Sus scrofa: one gene and its partners. The protein of the gene in region 1 interacts with the protein of each later gene in a pairwise test. Links are inferred from orthologs where the notes say so. Each region holds a gene or a part of one and is shown on either strand. Other genes may lie near its edges. The genes, in order: KPNA3, ERCC3 and MAT2B.

What was found.
Region 2: the proteins of KPNA3 (region 1) and ERCC3 interact in binary tests that used the Homo sapiens proteins (3 or more experiments, as listed by UniProt). The link is inferred for Sus scrofa from reciprocal best matches to the Homo sapiens genes KPNA3 and ERCC3.
Region 3: the proteins of KPNA3 (region 1) and MAT2B interact in binary tests that used the Homo sapiens proteins (3 or more experiments, as listed by UniProt). The two-hybrid records come from large-scale screens. The link is inferred for Sus scrofa from reciprocal best matches to the Homo sapiens genes KPNA3 and MAT2B.

Annotation. Positions count from the first base shown.
Region 1 is NC_010453.5:17,947,204-17,950,950, forward strand, and holds the start of KPNA3 (importin subunit alpha-3), read left to right. Parts: upstream 1-1,006; 5' UTR 1,007-1,036; coding exon 1,037-1,105; intron 1,106-1,417; exon of another isoform or gene 1,418-1,443; coding exon of another isoform or gene 1,444-1,599; intron 1,600-3,747. UniProt on the Homo sapiens protein: Functions in nuclear protein import as an adapter protein for nuclear receptor KPNB1. Binds specifically and directly to substrates containing either a simple or bipartite NLS motif.
Region 2 is NC_010457.5:25,220,524-25,224,270, forward strand, and holds part of ERCC3 (TFIIH basal transcription factor complex helicase XPB subunit), read left to right. Parts: intron 1-1,780; coding exon 1,781-1,933; intron 1,934-3,421; coding exon 3,422-3,553; 3' UTR 3,554-3,747. UniProt on the Homo sapiens protein: ATP-dependent 3'-5' DNA helicase/translocase. Binds dsDNA rather than ssDNA, unzipping it in a translocase rather than classical helicase activity. Component of the general transcription and DNA repair factor IIH (TFIIH) core complex.
Region 3 is NC_010458.4:60,271,319-60,275,054, reverse strand, and holds the start of MAT2B (methionine adenosyltransferase 2 subunit beta), read left to right. Parts: upstream 1-826; 5' UTR 827-1,109; coding exon 1,110-1,139; intron 1,140-3,411; exon of another isoform or gene 3,412-3,440; coding exon of another isoform or gene 3,441-3,503; intron 3,504-3,736.

The DNA of each region.
Region 1 (3,747 bases):
TGGGAGAATGATGAAGACAGATGCCGGAGCACTAATCTATTCAAGCATTTATTGAGTATTCATGACATGCCAGGCACTGTATTAACGGAGGGATTCAGCAGTATACCTAACGTCCCTACCTAACTGAGCTAATTCCGATACGGTAAACCAGATCGACACACACACATATCACATACATACATATATACATGTCAGGTGGAAATAAATGCTAATTATAAAACTAAAGCAGAGCAAAGGAACAGCGAATGAGGGTGGCTGCTATTTCAGGAGACCCCCGTGCCACCCTCCCCCCCCCCCGCCCCCGCAAAGAAGCAAGAGAGCAAAGCACCAGCCGTGCATCGGTTTCTAATTTTCTAGGCTACACGGAGCTAGGTGCACCTCCCAGGAAGCTCCGCCCCCTCCCTCCCAATAGGACGCAAGGTGCCGTCTCCGAGGAAGCTCCTCCCACTCCCCGCCCAGAGGCGGCCTTGGGGGCGGAGCCTCGCGCCCGGGCTCCCTGAGCGCGCCGCGCATAAAGACGCGCGCTTAGGGTTCCCGGCATTCTTCTGATTCTGTCAAAGCCGGGAGAGTTACCCTCGCTAGGGAATGGCATGCTGGGAACTGTAGTTTCCTCCCGCAACCCCGCGTCCCGGGGGCAGTAAAAGCTGCTAAGTTCGGCTCCATTGCTGGCACCATACTTGAAGCCCGGCGGGGTTGTGGGGAGGATTTGCGGAGGGGCTGGGGCCGGGGTCATCCCGAGTACCACGTGGAACTTATCCAGCCCGGCGAGCGTCCAGGCCGGAGCCCGCCCCGGACACGTGACCCCGGCCTCCACAAGAGCGCGCCGTTCCAGAGCACGGTTCCCGCCCCGCCCGTCTGTCGGCCTGCGCCTCCCCCGGCGCTGCTGCCACCTCGCGCTCGGAGGCGTCACGGAACGTGCCCGCCTTTCCCCCTCCTCCTCCCTTTCCCTCCCGCTCTCCCCCTCCTCCCCCTCCCGCGCCGAGACTCGCCGCCGCCGCAGCCGCAGGAGTAGCCGCCGCCGGAGCCGCGCGCAGCCATGGCCGAGAACCCCGGCTTGGAGAACCACCGCATCAAGAGCTTTAAGAATAAGGGCCGAGATGTGGAAGTGAGTGTGCTTTCGCTGCTGGGGCCCTCCAGGCTCGCCCGCCTGGCCGCGCCGGCCCCGAGGCGGCGGGGAGGGGCGGGGGGCCGGCGCCGGGCTGGTTTTCGCCGGCTCGCGGTGGGTCGGAGTTAGCTACCGTCTCCCGTCACCGCGGCCAGGGGCTGGGCGGAGCGGGCGGCGGGACGCGGGCCGGGCTGCAGCCGCCTCTCGAAGCTGCCGGCGCGGAGTCCGGGAAACGCCGGGGTTTTCGGCCCCGTCACGCGGGCGCGGCCTGCTGTCGGCGAGGAAGAGATGTGGAGCTGAGGCGGGGTCCGCGGGCTGGGGCCTCGCGGGCTGGGGGGATGCTGCCGCCCGGGTCCATCGACCGCCCCGCCGAGGGGGCGGCCACGGCTCGCGCCCGCTGCCCGTGCAGCCTCCTGCCCGGCGCGGCCCCCTCAGTGCCTCCCGCGCTGCTGCACATGGAGCCTCGGCTCTGCCGGTCCCCGCGCCTACCTTCTGTGAGCCGGGCCCAGGCGGGCGGTGGCGGCCCGCAGAGGGGGGTGGGGACCAGCCGGGTAACTGACTTGTTTGAGGGTGGTGAATGGGGGAGGGTAGGATGCGCTAGGACCATTTTCTTATATTCCAGTGCGGTTCTTTGGACCAGTCGCGCTTTGCTTTTCCAGCTCATACTCCTGTTACTGCTGGCATTTGGAGCAAGCTGAAGGTGGACAATAGTTTACCGTCTATTGTGTTGAGGCTTTGGAAGAGACGTTGTTCCGACCTCCGCTCACAGGACCTCTTTTCTTAGCCTTTTCTTGTAGTGAGGGTGTGCATAGGGTAATCATGTCTTTGAAACGTTTTACTGAAATAAATTGGATACATAGGTTCATACGGCCTTGCGCTAAGCTGGTAGAATTTCCAAGTGGTTGCAAAACTGTAAACATTGATCGTGTTCACTCAGTTCGTTGCTACTCAGCATGTTGCCATTGTCTCATTAAGGTGACATTAGCAGGTACTGTTTGCAAACTCGGCTTGTCCAGGCAGCGCTAGAGGTCTCTCTGCAGCTTCTAAAAGCAGTGTAGTTAGTGTAATGCACAAACTTCACTGGGACTCTGACCTCTGGATTGTTGGGGGAAAGTGGTTTCAGGTCCACAGCCTTCTTTTCTTTTACTAGGTGACATGATTTGCAGTTTTCTCATTCTTGCTAAGCGGCCAGTGTGACGAAGAAGTGCGCATTTTATCCTGTCTTAAAGAGAGAAGGTGGTGGGGAAAATATACCGTTCAGTGTTCTGTTTTGTAGAAGAACAGACAAAACTGAGGCCGTTTTTCGGAGCCACAAAATTAAATAGTAATTGGAGAAAAACGTAGGGAAATGCCTTGGAATTTTCATATTATTGAGACAGATAAAAGTCATCTTTTTTCTGTCCTGGTCATTGTTCAATTTTACAGTGAGAAATACTTGTAAGCAAAAGTGCAACTTAAGAATAGCAGTAAGAAATTTGGAACTGCTTCTTGTTATTGGTCCTCTTGATGATAGGTAATTTTGAACCGTAATCATCAGTCATTTTTCTTGAAGCTTACCTCTGTCATAAAGCAAAACTTAATGTAGTTTGAAAAATACTTGTATTGTTTGTACAGAAGAACTAATTAACATTCTTCCCCCCCCCCTTTTTTTTTTGCCTCTATTGTGTTTGGGGATCTCAGTGATACCTAGTAAGGACTCCTTTGCATAATATGCACACAGTGTATCTCTGCTAAAGGTCAGAATGTGATCAGTGACTTCTAGATGCATAAAAAAGATATGAAGCCTGAAAATAGCGGTCACATTACAATTCTTAGAATACATGAGGGAGAATAACTAAGGCATGAAATAGCAGACATTCAAATGGTAGTTCCATGTGGCAGCCACTATACTAAGAGCTTCATGATACCTCTTTTAAGCCTTATGACAACTTTATGAGCTAGGTGTAGCATTATCACCACTTTACAGGAGGAAAATACTTTAGATGAGGAAACACAAAAGTGCTTATACAGTCTGCACAAGGTCATGAAGTGGGTATGAGCATTCATTCATTGGTCTACTGGGTATCGAACAGTGTTTGGTTTGTAACTCAGGGATTTTTACTTTTATAGTTCAGTAGGAATGATAGGAAAGTAAACTGATGATTACAGTGCAGGACATCAATAAGTGTATTCTGAGACTGCATGAGAAGATTTTGACTTGGAGCTGAATGGTCAGGGGAGAGTTCTGGTTGATTCCTGGTGGATGACTGGGAGGGAGCTGATCCTGAAGGATGAAAGAAAGATGGCCAAGGAAGGGGCATTCCAGAATGAGGGAGCAGTAATTGAAGAGTCCTGAGAGACTGTAGGACTGCTGAGAGAGATGGATACTGGAGATGTGATTAAAGGGTCAAATCCGATCAAGCGCCTTTTTTGTGAAATTTGGTATAACTGAGATTAGACCCCCCATATAGTCTTATCCATTAGGAACTGTATTACACTAGAAACTTACATTGCACCTTAGCTCTGTGACTAAGTAGTAGTGATTATTAGGCTATTCAAAAAGTGAGATGTACTTTGATGAGCTTTCATTTCTACCTTTTCATACATGGGATAGATAAAAGGTAAAACATATTATGAGTGATATAGCTGGACGATACATAAAT
Region 2 (3,747 bases), on another chromosome or scaffold:
TACGTATCCGTTGGTCTCTGGTCGGAGTAGGACCTGGGCTTTTTTGGTACCCAGTCCTCTGGAGAAGTAGGAGCCATGTCATCATAAGCATAGAATAGTCTCAGGCAGGCACACAGCAGTTGGGGTCCAGCAGCCCTGCTCAGACTCCCTCTGTCAATGCGTGAGTCATGGGGCCTTCTGCTGCTCTTCCTGCCTCCAGCTTCTCCCAGTGGATCGGTGGAGGAGGGGGCCTCTGATGCAAGATCAGGTCGTTAACTCTTTATGGTTGCCTTATAAAAAGAACATTAGATGTTGGTGGGAAAATGTGCTGGCCTAGGATTTGGGATGCCAAGGTACTGTAGCCATCACTGTGCTAGTCTGAGCCCTGAGGTTTTACTTTCTTGGGGAACCCTTCCAGGTAGCTGGCAGAGCTCTGCGTTTAGTTGTCTGCTGAGCCTGGTCCCAGGGAGCTGCCAACATCAGAACCATGCATATATGTCTGGTCTTCCAGCAACCAGGAAATTCTGAAGCTCTGGCAAACTTCCATTGGCTGAGCCATTTGCTTTCTTTTGTTGACACAGATAGGATTTATTTATTATGTCAGGATTCAATGTCTCAGAGGGTTTTTATTAGTGGGGGTGTGCAGAGATGTTGGAAACAGGGGACTACAAGGACATCTTAGAGCGTGGAGGTTCCCAGGCTCTTGATTTGTGAAGGACCATAGGCTGCCTTTTCGGATACTTTAGATCATGTCTTTTCCACATCGGTTTAGGGAGCTGATAGAGTTCCCTTTATTAGCCTTAGGGAGAAAACAGGGGCAGTGATGCTTTCCAGACTTCTTGTGCTGAGTGAGCTCTAGCTCAGGACACTTGGGACAGTTTTTTGGAGGATTTTCATTGTGACCTTTCTGTCCATCTGTGAAATACTGTGCTGATAACAGCATTCATAGCTCCCGATTCCTGGGAGAGTTGTCTGGGTAAGAGAAGCAGCAGATCCGAAGGTGCTCTGGGTGCCTGAGCCCATGGCTTTCTGTTCTAGTCGGGCCCCCCTGGCTGGGAGCACCAGCTTAGAGTTCCCCGAGTCACCACCTTGGAGTTTCAGGAGTGGTGATGAAGCCAAGGCAAGGCTGTCCCATGTCTGGTCCACGTCAGTGGCCACCTGAAGGGCTCGGATCCTTCCTTCTTAGGATTTTCTTTTAATTAAAATGGTGAGAAGAACGAGAGAAAGCGTTCCCTTTACATAATCAATCCAAGCTTTCTTCAGGGATGGGTAGGCCTTGTAGTAAGTTATCTCCAAAGAAATGAAAACCTAATCTCTCTCCACTGTGCTATTAACTTGTTCTTTTAGGAAAAAAATCTTTCAAATCCATTCTCAGGATGCTGTCATTTGTCAGTGCTCCGTCCTGCTGGAAGCCTTGAGTGTCAGGCCTGGAAATGAAGGCGTTGTGGGACAGCAAGCCTTGTCTTTGCCTAGGTCCCCTCCTTTACCTGTGCAAGATGGGGAACAGCCAAAATGGTGGGCTTGAGGTTGCCAAGGTGCCTGTTTTTGCTCTTCTGTAAGCAGTGGTTATCTTACTGTATGGGGAGCAGATTTCTCTAGAATTCCTAAGCCTCCTGCCATGCAGTCCTTAGTTGAGCCCCTGGTTAGTGGCAGCTCCTGGAGCTGTCTCTGCACTGCCAAAGAGGAGCCTCCATTGTTACCACCTGCTCTACTGGGCCTGGGAGGGAAGTGACCAGACCAGGTCAACCTAGGAGAAGGTGGGATCGGGCCGAGGGAGAGAACAAGAGGGTTCTGCCTGCAGGTGATCACAAAGCTTGCAGGCATGGAGGAGGAGGAGTTGGCATTCTCGACAAAAGAGGAGCAGCAGCAGCTCTTACAGAAGGTGCTGGCAGCCACTGACCTGGATGCTGAGGAGGAAGTGGTGGCAGGGGAATTTGGCTCCAGATCCAGCCAGGTGAGTGAGCGGGTGAGGCTCTTGATGGCATTTCTCCCGAAGGACATAGACACACATACACATGCACAGTTTGCGTGTGTGTGTGTGTGTGTGTGTGTGTGTGTATTTTCGTCTGTATGGTATTTTTAATAACCTGCAAAACACAGAGAATAGTAGGAACTACCTGTTGCTGTTCTGTGCATCTGTCTGGCTTTAGGTGTGTGAGCCCACGGTGGCTGTAGTCAGTCCGTGCTTTATTCACAACAGTCTGGCGTAGTGTTTGGCACTTTGACGTTAGAACCCAGGGTACCAGATGTGACCCAGACTTGCTAGGGTATTAGCGGGAAGGAGCGTGACGCACCTAGGGCGAGTCCCCTCATCTCTGACTTCCTCCTCAGTGATGAAACTGCACCTTCTTGCCTGCGGGATGGGTCTGAGACAGTTTATGTTGTAGTTTCAGCACATACTTTGAAAAATTTAGACTTCTCTAAAAGTGCTCAACTCTTCAGCTATTCTGCAAATACTGATTAGTTGCCTGCTGTTGTGCCAGGCGAATGTAACATAGTGTAACTGATGAAGAATTCTTACCAGGCCTCTCCAAGGAGAGTAGAGTTTATTTATTTATTTATTTTTGTCTTTTTAGGGGCTCACTAGCGGCATATAGAGGTTCCCAAGCTAGGGGTCCAATCAGAGCTCTAGCCGCCAGCCTACACCACAGCCACAGCAATGCCAGATCTGAGCCATGTCTGTGGCCTACACCACGGCATACAGCAATGCTGGATCCTTAACCCACTGAGCGAGGCCAGGGATCGAACCTGCAACCTCATGGTTTCTAGTCAGATTTGTTTCCTCTGCGCCACAATGGGAACTCTGGAGAGTACAGTTTAATCAGATACTTTTGAAACTGAGCTAATTTTAAAGGCACAAGGTGAGCAATGGCTGGAACAGGCAAGAAAGAGGTAGTGTCAGCAGGGAGGTGCCACCTTCCCTGCAGCTTCAGGCTGCAGTGAGACCTTTCTGTCCCCAAACCTGGGGGCTGCCTCTCCCAGGCAGTCTCCACAGGAGCCCCAGGGAAAGCTTTTTCTGAGTGTGTCCCAAGGTGATGTGTGATCAGTTCCACCTCCAATAGGTCCACCTGAGGTCAGGCTGTGTGAGGTGCTGCTTCAGGGCTGTCTGTGTACATGGAAGCTGGAGCTGAGAGCCTGGGTTCAAGTCCTGTCTTTTTAAGAATTGTGTGACCTTGGGCAAGTTACTTAATTTCTCTGTGCCTCAGTTTCTTCCTCTGTAAGACGGAGATTATAATGCTTGGGAGGACTTGGTAAGTTAAGACATGTAAATAAGGATAAGCTGCTTAGAACACTGCCTGAGACATAGTAAGTGGTCAGTAAATGTTACTGTAAAAACAATAAAAGCTATGAAGCTTATGCATTTATGAAACATACTGTGATTATAAATGTTTTGGGAGAGTCTTTCCCCATGGACACTAACGCTGGGCTGTGTCCCCTGCAGGTTTCTCGGCGCTTTGGCACCATGAGTTCTATGTCTGGGGCCGATGACACAGTGTACATGGAGTACCACTCAGCCCGGAGCAAGGCGGCCACCAAGCACGTGCACCCGCTTTTCAAGCGCTTCAGGAAGTGACCCCCACAGGGTCATGTGCTGGACATTCGTGCTCTGTCAGTAGCATCAGCTAACCAGTCTAGACTCAGTATCTATGGACTGTTGAAGAAAATGCATCAAGAGCTTGAGTCTGTCTTCACGGGTCATCTAGATTTAAAAGTGGAAGTTGGTGGGACTATATATATATATATATTTGGGTTTTTTTAAGACTACTT
Region 3 (3,736 bases), on another chromosome or scaffold:
TTATATATTTTTTTGGGGGGCTGCACCTGTGGCATGTGGAAATTCCTGAGCTAGGGACTGAATCCGAGCCACTGCGGTGACACCAGATACTTAACCTGCTGAGCCTCATGGCAACTTCTAATGAATTTTAATTTATCAGATTTAAAAAAACTGTATTTTCTTAATCACTGACAGACCCTCTGCACGTGTCATAGTTCAACTACGTGCTCTGTACTTGAACTGGGTAAAATATAAAAAGTTAACTGATTTTTTTTACGCTCTATTTGAATGGCAATTTTTTGGTGGTTGTTCTTAAATTGTTACAGAGCGTCAATGCAGTGGTTCAAAATTTAACTGAGCATATTCATCACATTTTAAATCGTTAACAGTAGGATTGCTAGGTTCCATTCCTACAGAGCGATTTTTTTCCTGCTGTGCTGGCAGCTCCGGGCAGCTCATTGGTCTAGTAGTCCTTAATGCTCTGCCAAACTTGAGGCTACTCCATTTATCATTTCCTCAAACAGAGGGCAGGGCACTGTTAATGGAAAAAACCTATCAAGATTTAATTTTTGGTGCTGTTACTACCAGTGTGTTTTTACCATCCTTTCAAATAGTTAATTAGAAAGCCCTGGGGGGAAAGCACTGGAGACCTTTACCAAGAGGATTCTGTTGTAATAAACCATAACTCAATAAAATATTTCACAACAGGAATCAGTTGCATTGTCTGGGGTGCTTTCCAAAGACAGGCTCTTGCTTTTTTTTGCAAAAGAAAACTGCAACAAGTCTTCACAGACTTGTTGTATCTTTATTCCTTAAAAGAAAAAAAAAAAGTTGGTTCTCCTAATGGTTTTGATAATGGGCTCTCACTTGGCTGGCAATAAAACATGAAACTTCTCATTGGGTATTTTCAAGACTGCCACGGGGAATCAGCTGCCAGTTTACTGCAATGTGGAAAACTGCACGAGATTCTGGGATCGGACTCAAAATGCTAATTTCAAAGGTCGAATGAAGCTGTGGCTCACGTTTTCGTGTGCCTGAGCTCTCAGCAAGCAGAAGAACAAAGACCCAGCTCGAGAAGGCAGAGGCAGAGACCCATCTCAAATCTTTTTTCCTGAGATAATTTTGGAATCATGCCTGAAATGCCGGAGAATATGGAACAGGTAAGAGCTAGCTATTCAAGAAAAGAAGCATTCTGGAGTTAGAGTTTCCTTAAAAGCACCCCAATGAACAAATGATAAAAACCGAAAGGGTGTGTGAAAAAACAGAAATGAGTGTCATTCCTTTCTTTAAAACATCACTTTGGGACTTGACTTGGAAGAATGAAGTAGCTAATTATTAACCCTGTATGGAGAGTTCAGCTAAGTCTCCATTAAAAAAAAAAAAAAATCCCAAACAACAGTAGTTTCATTTACCAGATTAATGCAATGCTGTAGGTGAAAGTTATATATAAATAACGATTTTATCTTTCTTTGTTTTGGCATGGATTGAATCTGCTAACCTAAACTTTATCTCCAGATTACTCTTTTTAAATTTATAGTTTTAGCCACTAAGTGAACTTGGATATTGTCTGTATAATAATAGCGTTTTTATTTACACTGAAATTTCCATTTTTATAAAGAATGATTAAAACCCATATACGAGCATATGCCCCTAGGGATCATACCCAAGGTTCCCCTGGCGAGTATCATATCAGATTCTCAAATTTAGGCAAGTAAATTCCTTTATTCCTCTAGATAAGTCTGCTCTGAGAATCAAAATGCTAATTGCATATGCATATCCTTAAATCGTCTTCACGTTGAACAATCAATTTTTTTTTCTTTTGTAGAGATTATAACGCATCACTGTAAACTTTACAAAAAATCCTCAGTTTTTAAAGAGAGGAGGATCGGGAGAATCTTGAATCCCTCCCCCCAGTACCACCGACACCTTTTCTTTGTTGCAGATTATGCGCGGTTACTGTTGGGGCAGTCCTCTCTAGGACTCTTAACAGTGCTAATTGATTTATAGCCGGGATTGAAACAAAAATTGTAAAGTGTTGGGGGGGCCTCAGGCTCTCCTGCTATTGTTCCAAAGAAACCTGATGCTTACACAAATAAGGAAATGAGTTCTTGTGGGGGTTGGGTAGGAAAGAAAGTCACGGGACTGAGACGTGGAAAAACTTTTTTTAAAGGCTGCTTGCCTAGTGTTCAGCTGGAAGATGAAACCAAAAAAAGCTTTTATGCAATTAACGTCGTTTTAGAAGAATCCAAGCAGTAATCAACATTTCTGGGCGACTTTTATTAGAGTCTCTGTCTTCTGTGTGTCTGGACAAAAACACTCAGACTGTTCAGTGGAAAGCTGGTGAACCCTACACGGTCCATGCTCGGATTTTTTCTGAGTAAATTTCACCGGCATCCCGGCTGGCATGGGACGTTTTGGTTTTAAACTGAAAGAAAATACGGTTGCGTGCTAGGTCAGCTTCAATGCTTAGGGCTGTTTTAATTTGTTACTTTAAAAAAAAAAAAAAAGGGTGATACAGGTGGTAGAAGATCCGTTGGTCTTTTTCCCCTTTGGTTCCTTTCATTTTCCGAGGTAGCAGAGGCGCCGCTGTGTAGCCAAATGCTGCAGCCTGTAAGGCGGTGCTTCTCAAAGGGTGGTCTTGACTCCAGTTATATCCCCTAAAATGTGGAGCCCCAGGCTCTAGTTCCACAGCTCATACTGAAGTTATTGGTAAAGTACGAGAACGTACGTTTTAAAGTGGCACCCAAACAATTCACCCCCAGACTCCCACACCTTTTTATTTTTAACTAGTTAAAAATAGTTTGCCATTTTTGGAATTTCACACGTACTACCTTTGTGCATCCCAGAAAGACAAATGGGTTCTTCAGAGGCTGATGACTCAGATGTCAACACATTTATTTTTACTCCTCTCTTTATAAAATCTCTCTCTCAAAAACAAAGATCCCTCATTGCTCTAGGGATACATGTCCAATTGTGCTTCCTCTTCCCTTGCCTCATCCCTCCTACCATATCTTTAAAATGTTTTGTTCCACTTTATGTTTTACGTGCCCAGTTAATCCTTATGCACTGCGCACAGTCTACAAACTTGGAAGTCCAGGCGATCCAATTCAATTCTTACCTAGTCGAAAAGGGAAAACTAAATAAACATCCCCAGTTCCTCCTCCCAGCCCGCAAACAAAACTCAAGAGTCCCGGTTTAAAGCTGAGGCCTTTGTTTCAGGTAGCCCTTTAAGAGTCGGCGCGTGGGCTGGGAGCGTCCTGAGCGCGCCCGCCCCCTTTTTGGGGCGTCGGTGGAGCGTGGCCAATCAAGAGTGTCGGTCTTGGCGGCGGAAGCCGGAAGCGGTGGGAGGGGGCCGGCCCGGACCAGGGGAGGCGGGCCTAGGGCGTTGGAGCTGCGGCTTACGGCGTTCTTGGGCTGGAGGAAGTGGCGGACGCTGCGGCGGCGTCGCCAAGACGGCGGGCATGGTGGGGCGGGAGAAGGAGCTCTCTATCCACTTTGTTCCCGGGAACTGCCAGTTAGTGGAGGTGAGGGAATCGGCCCCGGGTCTGGAGGCGGGGTGGGGGGGGGGGACGTCTCGTGGGAACCGAGTGAGCGGAGGGGGACGAATCTGGTGGTGGGGCTGGAGTACTTTTCCAGACGCATTCAGTCGGAGCTGAGGCCCCGGGAGGCTGGGGCGGCGCCGCCGAGTTTGTTTATCTCGGTTTCTGTGTCTTTTCTTAGCAGCTGCGACAGGATAAGTTGAATTTCATTTTCAAGT